Linked DNA regions of Drosophila melanogaster. The main gene of each other region encodes a partner of the protein of the gene in region 2 in a complex. Each region holds a gene or a part of one and is shown on either strand. Other genes may lie near its edges.

What was found. Proteins that work in one complex are often made in the same cells at the same time.
Region 1: Tim17a2 (region 2) and ttm50 share a complex: the UniProt entries of both Drosophila melanogaster proteins name them as parts of the TIM23 complex.

Annotation. Positions count from the first base shown.
Region 1 is NC_004354.4:2,728,947-2,735,162, reverse strand, and holds ttm50 (tiny tim 50), read left to right. Parts: upstream 1-2,972; 5' UTR 2,973-3,114; coding exon 3,115-3,373; intron 3,374-3,445; coding exon 3,446-3,629; intron 3,630-3,685; coding exon 3,686-4,214; intron 4,215-4,273; coding exon 4,274-4,397; intron 4,398-4,456; coding exon 4,457-4,647; 3' UTR 4,648-5,086; downstream 5,087-6,216. Other genes in the region: crm (cramped), read left to right, coding at 59-160; CG2712 (uncharacterized protein), read right to left, coding at 963-1,607, 1,678-1,932, 1,993-2,598; dwg (deformed wings), read right to left, coding at 5,210-6,166. UniProt on the Drosophila melanogaster protein: Essential component of the TIM23 complex, a complex that mediates the translocation of transit peptide-containing proteins across the mitochondrial inner membrane.
Region 2 is NT_033777.3:5,257,393-5,265,639, reverse strand, and holds Tim17a2 (Tim17a2), read left to right. Parts: upstream 1-2,947; 5' UTR 2,948-3,114; intron 3,115-6,480; 5' UTR 6,481-6,494; coding exon 6,495-7,169; 3' UTR 7,170-7,304; downstream 7,305-8,247. Other genes in the region: Hph (HIF prolyl hydroxylase), read right to left, coding at 7,519-8,075. UniProt on the Drosophila melanogaster protein: Essential component of the TIM23 complex, a complex that mediates the translocation of transit peptide-containing proteins across the mitochondrial inner membrane.

The DNA of each region.
Region 1 (6,216 bases), on a different chromosome or scaffold from region 2:
ATGCCACACTCCCCACTTGCGACATTCATTGTGGACCGACCTCTAACCTAATCCACAGGATCCGTCGTCAAGCATGTCGGTGATCAGCGAGAGCAGCGTGGACTTTCGGCACAAGTTCCAGGAAATCGCCGCCCTGCTGCAGCAGCAGGAGAAAGATTAGCAGTGGCCACTGCGGCAATCCGGTCGTGTCCTCTTCGTTTGTGTACCCAAGTCCGGATCTTGAGATGAGAGTCGTCCAAGCTGGACGATGGAAAGGAAAGCCACGTGTGCCTCCAAGCCTCATGTCCCACTGATATTACTCATTACTCACTCATCCCACCCACCCACGTTATACCCACTAACATTTATGTTTTTACGCGACTTTTTGTGATCTATACTCATTTTATGTATGCCAAGTATTAGCAAGCACTCACATTGTCTGAACATATATATTTATTTATACATTAACTTTATGTATCGCGCGGCAGCGTAACGCGTAGCTCCCAATCCACACTTTTAATTCCCAGCCCCATTTTGTTTGTTACCCGCTCGCACACTCGTTCCGCACTACTCTAATTGGTTTCTAGCGCGTAAGTTCAATGCAGCATAGTAGCTTAGCTTAAGGTCCCCACACCCGCACCCGCACCCTCACCCTTAGCCACTATCAACTACAAAACCCAATCGAAACTTCCATATGTATAGAGATTCTCCCGCCTCCACCTGATAAACTAAAGCTCATTACATTAAATCAAATCGAAAGGATCGTCAGAAGACTCGAAATGTTTGTTGACCATATATAATATATATGTATGTATGAAACACGCATTATTTTGGGTGGGAAAACCAATCAAATTTATCCTAACAATAGGAACACACTTAAAACTTGTTATTGTGCGAAGGAAAGTACCGAAAATAAAAGCGAATTGAACTAAAACTAAATGTCCCGATTTGTACATTAAGCCGATAGTATAAGCGATCTAGCTTCAGGTCTCCACATTCTCGTCCTGCTCCTCCAGTTGGACACCCACTTCATGCTCGGCCCGCCTCCGCTGTCTGCCCGCCTTGTGCGACTGGCGATGGATGGCGAGTGAGATGCGGCGCTTGAAGGACTTGCCGCACTGCTCACAGCCGAACGGTCGCTCGCTGCTGTGGACGAGCATGTGGCGGTTGAGCTCGGATGTGCTGCCGAAGCTGCGCTTCTGGCACACCGGGCACGGGTGGGGCTTCTCCTGGCTGTGGCAGCGCTTGTGGGCAATCAGATTGCTCGAGTAGCGGAAGCGACGGCCGCAAATGTCGCAGCCGTGCGGCTTCTCGCCCGTGTGGGTGAGCATGTGCTTCTTGTAGCCCGACTTCTGTGTTAGCCTCTTGCCGCAGATGCTGCACTCGAATGGCTTGATTCCGCTGTGGATTAGAAGGTGTGTGCGCAGCGAGGACGCCTGCCGGTAGACCTTGAAGCAGGTGGGGCACCTGTTCGGATTGTTACGATCGTGCAGCGTGACATGGCCGTCGCGGGCGTTTCGCGTCTTAAAGGACTCTCCGCAGATTGTGCAAACGTAGGGCGTGGCCGTGCCATGTAGCTGCATATGGTACTTGAAGGAGTTGTTGGTGCTTAGTTGCTTGCCACAGATCTAAAGGAATGGAGGGAGAATTGATGACCTTCGGCTTTGAGTTATTTGCGAGCTGCGATGACCAACTTACTTTACACTGTAGGGAGGGATTGAGGGGTTTCCAAGGCCGGCTTCCACTGGGCAAAGTTTTCTGCGTCGCCGAAGTCTGTGCTGATTTCTCCACAATCTCGTAGACATCTTCGCCAGCTTTGGCCTGCAAAACGGGCTCCACTTGGAGGCACTCTTCAATGCAGTGGTCGTTGTCTTCTTGGCGAATTTTTGGCTGGCCATGTAGCCTCATGTGGTACTGAAAGGTCCGCTTCCTAGCCAGTTGTTTGCCGCAAATCTGCCGAAGATGGGAAACTATTTCGTGATTACTTACTTCTAATTCGGAAAGGCAACTCACGGGACATTGCAGCGCTGGCTCGGATCTTTCTAACCTGCTCCTACGTTGCTCCGGATCCGGATCGTCGACAATCTCGCAGAGATCGTCTTCGTGCTGTTCCAGTGCAATATCCAGCCTCTCCTCCTGTACAATTGGCGCTTCCAGCCGGCTCTCCGCCTCATCTGATTCTACGACCAGGAGTTGCTCCTCATCTCGTATCGTTTCTGCTGGATATTCAGTCACTTCCTGGTCATCGAGCACGAGTACAAAATCCTCCGGAATCTCGGTTGACAGCCTGGCCCTAGTATTCACCGCGCTGATCTTTTTGCTGCGGCAAAAGTCCGCATGACTCTGCCGCAGAATTCTGTCCATGCGATGGACACTCCGCTTGAATTCCAGCGAGAGCCGCAACTTGGCCACGCAGTCCGGGCAGATGTGGTGGGGCAGGAAGAGCTCCGCCTCTAGGATCTCCAGACCGCTGCAGTAGCTTAAAATGCTGGCCAGCGTCGCTGGTTTGCCGGAAATTGGATCGTCGAGCGGTTTGAAGAGCGGCAGGCAGCGCGGCGATGCTGTGTGGCACACGCGGCACAAGGCGTCCATGGGGGACGGCGGCGACATGGTCGTCATGGATTGAACTCGACAGTAGATAATACACGTTTAAATAAATAACTTAATTTAGCGTCCCGAACAGTGATGCCAAAGTCCAGCTGATGCGTTAGTGGTGGCACTCAAAATAGCTAGCCAGGCACATCAGCTTGGAAGTGACCAGAGGCACAGTGGCTTGGTGGTTGGTCAAAGGTTGTGTATTTCCATATTATTTAAAATATTTTAATTTAAAATTTTCTTAATACTGTGATTAGTCAGATTGCCGGAGGCAACATATGTACACACGCAGTTATCTGCAAAATCCCGCCAGATTTGGCTTGAAAATCGCCGATCTATACCTGCTGAGAGCCACGTGCTAAATGTACTAACGCCTGGTGCCGCCTGGCAGTGGACAGTATATAAAATCCCTAACGCCAACGCCGTGCCGGTGGGAAGTTGAAATTTTTGTTGGAATTTTTTATAAGTAAAAAGTCGCTGCCATCCGAGCAGGACTCGTGAACGGCTCTAGGACTCGATATCGGGAAGGAAGGGGGAAGCATGAGCATGAGCATGGCACCGGCCACCGTCCTCCAGTTGCTGCGCGGCCTTAGCACGCCGCGTCTTCTTACCCACATCCACCAGCACCGCGCATTGGGTAATCACTACCACCACTACCACCAACACTACCAGCACCAGCACCACCTCCTCCACCACCAGCAGCAGTACCTCCGACTATTCACTTGCACAGCACTGCCAGCGGCTGCTCCGGCGCTCTTCTCGATCCTGCACACAGCGCGTGGCTACAGCAGCACAACCAGTAAGTGATTCACGGTAGAGTCCTAAACAGTAGAGTCCTAAACATTCATCCTTGGCCACTTTCGTTTCGCAGAGCAGGAAGCTGGAGCCACTGGCCCCAATGATGCGCCCGAGGTCGCACCGAATGCCCCGCTGCTGGCCAAGCTCTTTCCTCAGACCTCGCCGGAGGTGGACAGCAACGCCGAGCAGGAGCGCAAGAAGCGCGAGGAGGAGGAGGAAAAGGAGAACGAGCGTGCCTGGAAGCGCATGAAGCTGGGGTAAGCTGACGCCCATTCAATGCGTAACAGTATTATAACAATACTTCCTGCTGCAGCTTTGCAATATTCGGAGGCAGCGCCGTGGCTGCTGGATTCTGGGCCGTCTACGAGTTCGGCAAGCCCGAGGTGGACCCCAACGGGCAGCCCATCGAGGACGAGTTCACACACAAGCCGCTGGTACAGCAGTATCTGCAGCGGATGTGGAAGAGCATTCACTACTATCAGCGCATGATCCAGGAGCCGTCGCGCGCCAAACTGCTGCCCGATCCGCTCAAGCCGCCGTACGTGCAGCCGCGCTACACGCTTGTGCTGGAGATGAAGGACGTGCTGGTGCATCCGGACTGGACTTACCAAACTGGCTGGCGCTTCAAGAAGCGTCCCGGCGTCGACCACTTTCTGGCCGAGTGCGCCAAGGACTTTGAAATTGTCGTCTTCACCGCCGAACAGGGCATGACCGTGTTCCCCATCCTGGATGCCCTCGATCCCAACGGCTACATTATGTACCGCCTGGTCAGGGATGCCACGCACTTTGTGGACGGCCATCATGTGAAGAACCTGGACAACCTTAATCGCGACCTCAAGAAGGCAAGTCATGCACAACGTATTTTCTATTGCAATCATCTATAAAGAAGGGAGTATTTTAGGTGATTGTTGTGGACTGGGATGCGAATGCCACCAAGATGCATCCGGACAACACATTCGGCTTGGCCCGCTGGCATGGCAACGACGATGATGGCCAACTGCTGGACCTTATCGCTTTCCTAAAGAGTAAGTTGCGCCACAAGTGACATTGAAAGCTAAACACTGACCCTTGCAATTCGCTACAGTAATTGCGCAGAACAACGTGGACGACGTGCGCGAGGTGCTCCACTACTATCGCCAGTTCGACGATCCCATCAACCAGTTCCGGGAGAACCAGCGCAAGCTGGCCGAACAAATGCTGGAGGCGGAACGCATCGAGCAGTCCAAGACCAAGCCAATGGTCAAACAGTGGTCGCGCAACATTCTCGGCCGCTAGGAGGCTGGCCATACCGCACAACCCGTTCCATACGCATACCTTAACCTTCCGCCTGCGCCGGAGCAACAAACACGCCCTGCAGCAGCACACTGGCCATATTTTTCGTCGACTTTTGGAGTAGTTAGTGGGAAGCAGTAGCAGACAGCAGACAGCAGGATTGGGAGGCACGCTCTGTCTTTTGCTCCTTTGGGAAAAGACGAGGCGCATGTTTTTGTTTTATTGAATAACTAAACTTGCTTGTTTTTGTTTTTTGGCAATTTAATCGTAATATTATTATTATAAAGAGACGACTTAACCGTAAAACCAAAAACAAGACATCCATGTGTTTCGTTACGAAAGTGGAGAACTTGCTGTGCGTTATCTAATCACAATTGATGGATAAGAGTGGCTAAACCTGCTGAGATAGTTATCGTGAAAACAAAATTATTTTTATGTATGTAAAAAATAAGTGTCGAATTTTCTTTCAGTTTTTTCTGGAACAAAAATCAGTTTTATTGAACTAAGTGTCTAATCCTTAGCCTAGGCTTACATTCTAGAGCCGCTCCCACGGCTTGGTGGCCGCTCACAGCACCATCACCACTTTGGAGGTGGACACCGGCTGCTCATGAACTTCGGTTATGTGAAGGTTGGTTGCCGATCCACCGGTCGCACCTCCACCGGTCGGACTTCCACCTGTCGCACCTCCGCCTGTCGCACCTTCTGCGCCCGCTTGTCGGCTGGGAGGATTGATGGACTGAACAGCAACGGTGGCCGTCACCGGCGACTCCTTGTTGTGGACGCGCATATGACTGGCCAGTCGCTTCTTTGTGGGAAAGGCCTTAACGCAGACCTCGCACTTAAACGGCTTTTCGCCGGAATGGAGGCGAACATGGGCATTGAGGTTGCTGGTAAAGGTGAAGGCATGCCCGCAAACATCACACTTGTGCGCCTTGACGCCACTGTGGACCATCATGTGCTTCTTGTAGCCCGACTTCTGAGACAGTCCCACGCCGCAGATCTCGCAGGTGAAAGCCTTCTTGCCGGTGTGGCTTATCTTGTGCTGGCGCAGCGAGGACGAATCGTAGTAGGCCTTGTCGCACAGATCGCAGGCGTATGGTCGCTCGCCCGTGTGCGTGAGCTTGTGGCGCCGCAGATGATCGAACGCCGCATATCCGCGGCCGCACTGATCGCAGTTGTAGGGTTTCTTCTCCGCATGAGTTCTCTTGTGCACTGCCAGACTGGAGGTGGTACGATAGAAGCGGCCGCATATGCTGCACTGGTGCGGCTTGACATTTGTGTGTGTCAGCATGTGTTCCTTGTAGTTGCGTAGGTGCTTCAGACGCTTGCCACACTCCTCGCACTCGTATTGCTTCTCGTCCACGTGGGAGCGCATGTGCTGGTTGAGACGGCACTGCTGGCGGAACGCCTTCTGGCACACGGTGCACACGTACGGCAGCGCCTCGCCAGCGGTCGGCGGCGCTGAGTCCAGCGACTCCTCCAGGAAGTCCTCATCTTCGCAGACATCCTCCGCCTCCGGCAGCTGTGTGTAGGTGAATGGAGGATAAATGGTATTCTAGTGCAATATAATTT
Region 2 (8,247 bases):
ACCGCTTGTCCAAAAGTTCCCGAAAGTACTGCTCAGCATTGGCAGGATGTGCCGAGTGTTTAAAAAAGTTTTTGTAGTCCGTGGTCGTGGAGGTTATCATTTTGCCTTGATTAGTCAGCTTGCTTCTCACTGTTATCACAAGAACTCTATTACTCTTGAGACAGCTTTAAGACTGAAGTCCTATCTTTGTATCTCCACAGAGTTATTAGTTGTTGTTGTGCAGAGAAAGGGTGAATTAAGTTCTTGGCATTTGAATTGTTTCAGGATCCTTTTTTAGATACCCTGAATTGGTTAATTACTGTTCTTGGGAGATGACGGGTTCTCAAACGACTCCTCCAGAATTTCACGTGCAACTGAAGGGAGTTTATAATTTGCAGCGAGTTTTATGCGAAGGGGAGCCTCGAATTTTAGAGGGAAAGAGTGCGAGTTATACGTACACCGGCGGTTATATTATATGGTATATAGGTGCAAATGTGTTGGTGGGGAGGTACGTATTATTGCAGTTTGCATTTGTTGGGGCCGGCTGCCTATATATTTCACTTTTCGCTTTGTTTCACTGGCAGATGTTTGTTTTGATTTGACTTTGTTTATGCACAGTTAGTCACGTTTGTGTATTACTCAGCTTCGGTTAACTAATTTAAGTGAAATGTGAAGCAGCTGAACCGAACCGCACTCGTCGCCGTTCGTTTTCCGAATGCGGCAGCTGAGCAGGTCGCTCTCGCTCTTTACCGTTGGTTACGAAGGAGAGAGAGGCAGAGCGTTTTAAGAGCAGGTGAAAACAATCTAGCTATTTTATGGCCAAAAACTAGATTATGAGTGCTCGAATTCTGGTGTGTTAGTCGAACATGTGTTAACGTTTATAAATTAAATGGACATCTACGAGCAATACTTGAGGCATTTAAACCCCAGTTCAAAATTGGCTAAGGTGAACTGTACGTCTATCCCGGATTCGGAATACAATCGTTTAATACGATAACATCAAGATCGTAGAAAAGGTTTAGTTTGGACTACAAATTGTAGTTCGTTTGCTGTAACCAAATTTTTCTAGCTATTTTCTGTCCGCCTCCCAAATCCGTTCATCACTATCTCAGAGCGTCCATGAAACTACGAGTAAATCAGAAAGTTGGGGGCCTGGGAAGCAGCTAAATAATCGAAGGAGAAGCAGCCGCTTAAGGCGATAAGCAGCACCTTGGTAGGTGAGAGCAAATAATGAAAAATACGTACATATTGGTAAAAGGTAAAAGGCAGCTGCAGATAGCGAAAAACCGAACTGAACGTGCAATTTATGGGATCGGATACCCCGCAAGGTTCCAGAAAGCGGGAGGAAGCTACTCGTTCCGCTTGCCCTTCAAGAGAGTTTAAACACTCTCTGCCAAGCCAAACCAATTGCAAACGTAAAAGCGGGGAAAAGCGGAGGCAAACAGTAAGGCAGAAAGACAAGCGCAACAATCGTCACGTAGCCCAGCACACACACCAATGCGCAATTGGCACACGCACATGCGAGCGACCCATACAAACGCAAAGAAGCCACACGCACAGGCGTTAATGCGAGAGCCAAGTGAGTCAGAAAGAGATGGTCGCCAGCGAAGGGAGTGTGAGAAGGTCAGCGATAATGTAGATATTTAAAATGTTTGATACAAATATCTGCTAAAAATGCTTAAGAAACACTAACGAAGATGAGGCACAGAACGGCGGAAGCACGCGGAAGCTAGGCGAATGTGCGAACCAAAGAATTGGGTCAACGGCCCAGTTCAAAGTCGCCGCCAAACAACGTGCACGCAGAGAAATCGGGGAGACCTTTTAAAGCGCCATTAAAATAAAGAAATATCCCAGAAATCTGCCCAACATTCTGTAACCAAGATATATAATATATATAATAATATAATATATATATATAATAAATAAATCAGTCATAAAATTGGTAACGAAAAATATCAAAAGTATCTTATGGAATAGGAATAAAGATTATTCTATCTTCTGTCCTGTCTATACATTATTTATTATTTGGTAATACCCTTGGGCTAACAATAATAATAAGTCCCACACAACCCAGTTTCGAAGCAAAATGGCCACTAAACTGAACTGATTTCTTTTAGTGCAAACACGTTTTCGTGTACATTGTAATGATCGATTGGCGCCCTTTTTGTCTGTGATGTATTACGTGCGACAACGGCGACTGCGGCACGTGTACCACACCAACTCGCAGCCCTTTTGGTGGGCGGAGAAGCACCTGGGAGAGGGGCGTGGCGACGCACACGCACTGAGTGGCAGTCGACCTTGGTGACGTGCGTCTGCCTACGTAGCTCGCTCGGGCTCGCACTGGGTTCGAGATCCATCACTGGGAATCCATCACACAGCTGAAGGAGACCACAGACATGGGTTTACACCCAATTGGAAGTGGATAACATAAATAGAAAAGGGGAACCTTTAAGGAAATCCCTAGGAAATTTACGAATATTTTTAAACTAAATACCATTGCAATAGTTTTATATTTCTAATGTTTCCAATGGTTGCATAGTTCACATCGCAAGATATTCGATCTAAATAAACTTTATTTGATTTAAACTGGAAAGCACTTTCTCTGCTTTCAAAACTACATTTAGACATTCAAGTTCGGAAATGAAAAAAAATGAGGTGAGCAACGCTAAGGTGAATGCATTCTGGCTGAATCTTAGGCAAATCAAAAAGTAGCAGAGCAAACTATCCGCGAATGGATTGATTCCATATTGACTTTTCCTATCAATATTGCTGATTCAAATTGGAATTCGGTGGCGACAAGATGCGGTTTTTTCGACTTTTTCTGTTCATCGAGTTTTGCGCAACCGTATTGTTTGTTTTTCCCAGCAAGTTGCTTGACACATGTATTTTAGCACATTTCTAAACAATGACGGAATTTTGCAAGCCCCTGGAAATGAGATCACGTCGGTCCGACTGCGCTAATTGTTTGATAAAGAACAACACATCCCGCCGCAGATTGAAATCTCGGAGCTAAGGCATTCGCTAAACTCTGATAACACGATTTGAACGATACGCTTGCGTATTCCCGGCACGTAGGCAAAACGCTCCGGACCTCCCGGCCGAACGGACCACCCACCCACTTCGGGCGATAAGAAGGTAGAAAATACTGCACCTGACAAAATCGATTTGCAACAGTAACATAGAAAAATGAAGGCTTTTATTTGTGTATCCAAGTAAAAAGAAAATATCATAACTATCGGGTGGGAAGTTATCTGAATTAGTTCATATGTTGCACTTATTAGCTACAACTGCACATCCAGGAACACAAAATAATTTACTGCACAGTGTGGGGTTGATGATGACTCAGCCGGATTGGCTGAAAGATAAAATTACGAACAAATTTCTATATGTGCTCCGATGTGTGCGGTTCATGTTTGTTGTATTCGTTAATGCCGGGGTGCAAAGCAAAATAAATAAGCGAGTATTAAAGATTTGGACGCAACAAACTGCGCAACAGAATAATTACAAAGTCAGCACCTCCGCCCGGAAGAATGCGAGTCCGGCTGCGATTGCAGGTGCTATCAGATCGGGCATGGGTGCCATATACACTATGCGGCCGGGCACGTAATGCCGAAGGTAAATAAATACTCGACTCGAGAGGTGCCATCTCGGAGCAGAATGTTAGCAATCCGGAGACAGTCAAATCGCAGGGCAATTACGAATCTCATCTGACAATGCGATGAGTTGAATGGGAAAACAAACTGTTTCTATTTTTAAACTTTTACGTCTGAGAATATCGGACAGCCTATGTAGTACGTGCAGACATCAATCTAAAACCAACACCAAGTGTTTGTCTCCTAAAGAGTCCTTTCCTGGTTCCCCATTGGATTGGAAGCTTTACCTTGAACACCTGTAATATTATATCATATGATTTGTGTATACTTTAACAGCAGCAGTTCCAAAATGAGCCATGGTTTGGCTAATACAATTATACTAATTCACCCAAGCGATCTAAGATGATCTAGCAGTGCTATTCAATGTTTTGATTTGTGTTATAGGACCTTTTGCGAGGTAACTAGTATAAGCTGTATATCAACAACCAATAAATCAGCTGCGAAGAAGCTTGAGGATCGCGAAAACCATAAACTTCAGCGCCATATGAGCGATATGTCATCAGCTGTGTCATGTTCTGCTGTTGATTCGTGAGGCTTCTCAGGAGTGGGCACGTAACCGCTTATCGTAATTGACTTGATGTGCAAGTGAAGACGATAGGGGGCTACGAGCAGGAGGATGCACCTAGTGGGGTATATTTGGGGCTATAGATTTCGCTCCGGGACAAACTGCAAACGCAACTTCAAGTGTGCGGTCGGCTAGCTAATCGCGGTGCTTGGTTCAGTTACATTTAATAACTAGTTATCAGGTGAAATCATGGCTAATCAAATTCAAGATAAGCTTGCACCAAAACGTAGAAAATCTATTCTACCGAGTCATTTGGATGTTTTCAATAAGATATTGAAAATAACTCATCAATATCTGAGTGGCATTTTTCTTGTACAAGTTTTTGCTCGATCTATGTACGTTGTCAAGAAACTGTTTACACACTGTGAAATAAGTTGAATTTTTGACTTTAAAGCTAAAAATTAAGGGTTTTTTGCTTAATTAAACGAAATTTTTTTAAATAATATAATTAAACAATATTTATTTTATTTATAAATCAAAAAACAAATTCAAAATATTAAATATACAAGAAAATAAACAACGAATTCCAAGTTTACACACTTTTAAGACTGTCAAGAAACTCTTTACACATTTTGTTTTCCTACTTTGTTTTGTTCTTTTTCTTAGAACGAACTCGATTTTTCCGTTATTTTTGGCTTTGCATTGCTTTTTACAACGCTTCTATTGAAATTTGTTGACTTTGCTTGTGAAATTTTGCTGATCAAACGTGCTTAAAGCGAATTATTAAATTTAATAAAATGCCTGGAAAGAGATTAACTTTTGAAGTTACCCAATTAATAAACTATAACCACCAGTTGGAAAAATCTTTTCCAGAATTAGTATAAATGTTTCCTGTATCCCGTAAGACCGTCTACAATGTTTTAAAAGGCTCGGAAAAAGAGGGCAGGCTTGAACCTAAGAGTGGTGGTGGGCGGAAAATTAAAATTAAAAAGCGTGTAGACTGCTTTATTATGCGAATAGTGATTGCGAACCCCCGAATCTCGGTCAGATCACTTGCTCTAGATATCAGGCAAGAATGTCACCTAGCTGTGTCACACGAAACTGTGCGCCAAGTCATCCTACGCCATAGGTACTCTTCAAGAGTTGCAAGGAAAAACCCTTTGCTATCAGATGCCAATATTGAAAAGCGTCATTTATTCGCAGTGAGCATGATGGATCATGCGGAAGAGTACTGGGATGACGTCATATTTGGTGACGAAACAAAAATGATGCTCTTTTATAACGACGGGCCAAGCAGAGTATGGCGCAAACCGTTGAGTGCGCTAGAAAAACAAAATATCATTCCAACGATAAAATTTGGAAAAATGTCACTGTTGGTTTGGGGCTGTATCACCAGCCGTAGAGTGGGAAAACTAGCCTTAATTGAGGGCACAATAATTGCCGTGCAATATCTAGGAATTTTAAAAAACAAATTTGAAGGCCAGTGCAGAAAAATTTGATCTAGTTAGCAACAACAAGCCAAATTTTATATTTTAAGAGGACATGATCAGAAACATAAAGAGTGCAATGTACGCACCTGGCGCCCTTATAACTGTGGTAAAGTGATCGATACGCCCCCTCAGAGTCCTGATCTGAACCCCATTGAAAATTTGTGGACCTACTTAAAGAAGAAGGTGGCAAAAAGGAACCTAAAACACAACAACAGCTTATGACTGTAATAGTCGAAGAGTGTGAAAAGATCCCGTTTGAATATGACCTGCAAAAACTTGTCCAATCCATGAAAAAAGGGCTTCAACTTGTAGCTAAAGCCAATGGGGAACATACTACATACCAAAACTTTTAAAATTTTAATAAAATAATTTAAAAATTTAGGATTAAACATCGATTTAGTGTTTTGTGTAAAGAGTTTCTTGACAGTCTCAAAAGTGTTTAAACTTGGAATTTGTTGTTTTTTTTCTTGTATATTTAATATTTTTAATTTGTTTTTTGATTTATAAGTAAAATAAATATTGTTTAATTATATTTTATAAAAAAAATGCGTTTAATTAAGCAAAAAACCTTTAATTTTTAGCTTTAAAGTCAAAAATTCAACTTATTTCACAGTGTGTAAACAGTTTCTTGACAAACTGTATATTTCGTTTGTAGGACCATTGGTAAATATTTGTATCTAGTTAGAACGGACGTAAAAGTCGTAAGGCAACATTCTCAAAGTTATGTATAATCTATAAACACACGTTTTTAATCAAAGGCCATATTGGTCAAAAGCTGATAGCACATATTCGCAAAACAAGGAAAGTTCACTACAAATCAAGTTTTGAATTAATTACGGATTCTTTTGGTCAGTACATCACCCGAACATGGAGTACAATCGCCAGCCGTGTCCCATCAGGATTGTAGAGGATTGCGGGTGCGCCTTTATGATGGGCACCATGGGAGGATCGTTGTTTCAGTACCTCAAGGGATTCCGAAACGCTCCGTCCGGTCTTCGACGTGGCTTGCACGGCGGTATAGAATCGGTGAGGTTGCGGACACCGGCCATAGCCGGCAGCTTTGCCATTTGGGGCGCCACCTTCAGCACGGTGGACTGCGTCATGGTCTCGTACCGCCAGAGGGAGGATTCCTGGAACGCGATTGTCAGCGGAGCGGCCACTGGCGGAATTTTAGCCGCCCGGAATGGAATTCGAGCCATGGCCAACAGTGCCTTTGTGGGCTGCCTCGTTTTAGCCATGCTCGAAGGAGCTGGAGCAGCAGTGGCTACGATTTATGCATCGGATGGAGGAGTCAAAGCAGAGGAGTCCCTAATCACTGTTGACCAGCAAATGCAGAGACCCCAGTGGGAGACATCCGTTGCTGATTCGAACCTAACTGGGGCGGAGTTAGAGCGGGTGTTGGATGAATGTCGGGCATACAGGGCACACAACAAGATGCAGCAGCCTATGCGTTCGGACGCAGTGGAGGGTAAGGAACTGGGGCAACTGATGAAGCCAATGCACTCGTTGGTCGATCTGGTAAAGCTGGCCGAAATTGTCTGATAGAAAAGCTTTTAAGGTTTTAAGTCAACCTCCCATGCTTCTTCCAAATTAAGTGTTAATTCGATATTCAGCGTTAATCTTATATTATTTTTAAAAGCCCAGTAGGTACAAGGAATGATTTTCTATCTCATGGAGAATATTTTTCCATCTTCAATAAAAGATCAGCTGATATTTGATTGCATCTAATAAAATACTATGGCACTATGCAGGCTCAAAAGAGCTTCTAAGAAAAATATATCTCTTCTAGCGTGCCACCATGAGCAGTATTATAGTATTATACATTTTTAACTTATGTTTTAGCATAAAACTGTTGAAACTGAAACATCTGACCTGTCCACTGACGACCTACCTTCCTGATCCCATGAAGCTGGCATCCGCCAGACCGATTTGATAGCTGGAGCTCTTTTCGCCATTATGGTGATGATGCTGGTGCTGCTGCTGCCTTTGACCTGTTTCCGTTTCCGCAGCTGCAGCCTTCTCCTGGCTGCCCGGCTGCCCGAGGAGATTCAGCAGGTTGTCTACCTCGGCGGGCCAACTCTGCGCCTGGTGGGCAGGCGTCATCATCTGGGCGGTGGAGCAGTTGGCGCCGGCGCCGCTGCATTCCAGATTGGCAGATGCCACAGCTTGTTGCAGTTGCTGGATCTGCTGCCGCTGCTGCTGCTTATTGTTGTTGCTGCTGTTGAGCTTTTGGCGGGTCAGGAGGCGGCACTCGGTGCGGTGGTCGGGCCAATGGAGATGCTGGTGGGCGGGGGAGCAGTAGTAGACGGCCTTGCACTTGGCGCAGCGCAGTAGTTGCTGCTGAGTGCCGCAGATGGAGCAGCGCGGCGGGTCCATGGCCGATTTGGATGCGGAGTGGGAGCCGGAATGGCTTGCTGAATCCCTGACCTTTCCGCGACCCCTGCTCATTGCATTTTGCGGGAGAGGAGAGCCAAAGGCGACGACCGATTTTAACCTTGACAGCTCTCCCAGCTTTTTTTACCCCACCTCACCTACGCCAACTGAGGCAATCACACACACACACGCTCGCAGATTATGGCTATTTGTTATCAATGCGAATTACGGCACTCGGGCGTTTTAG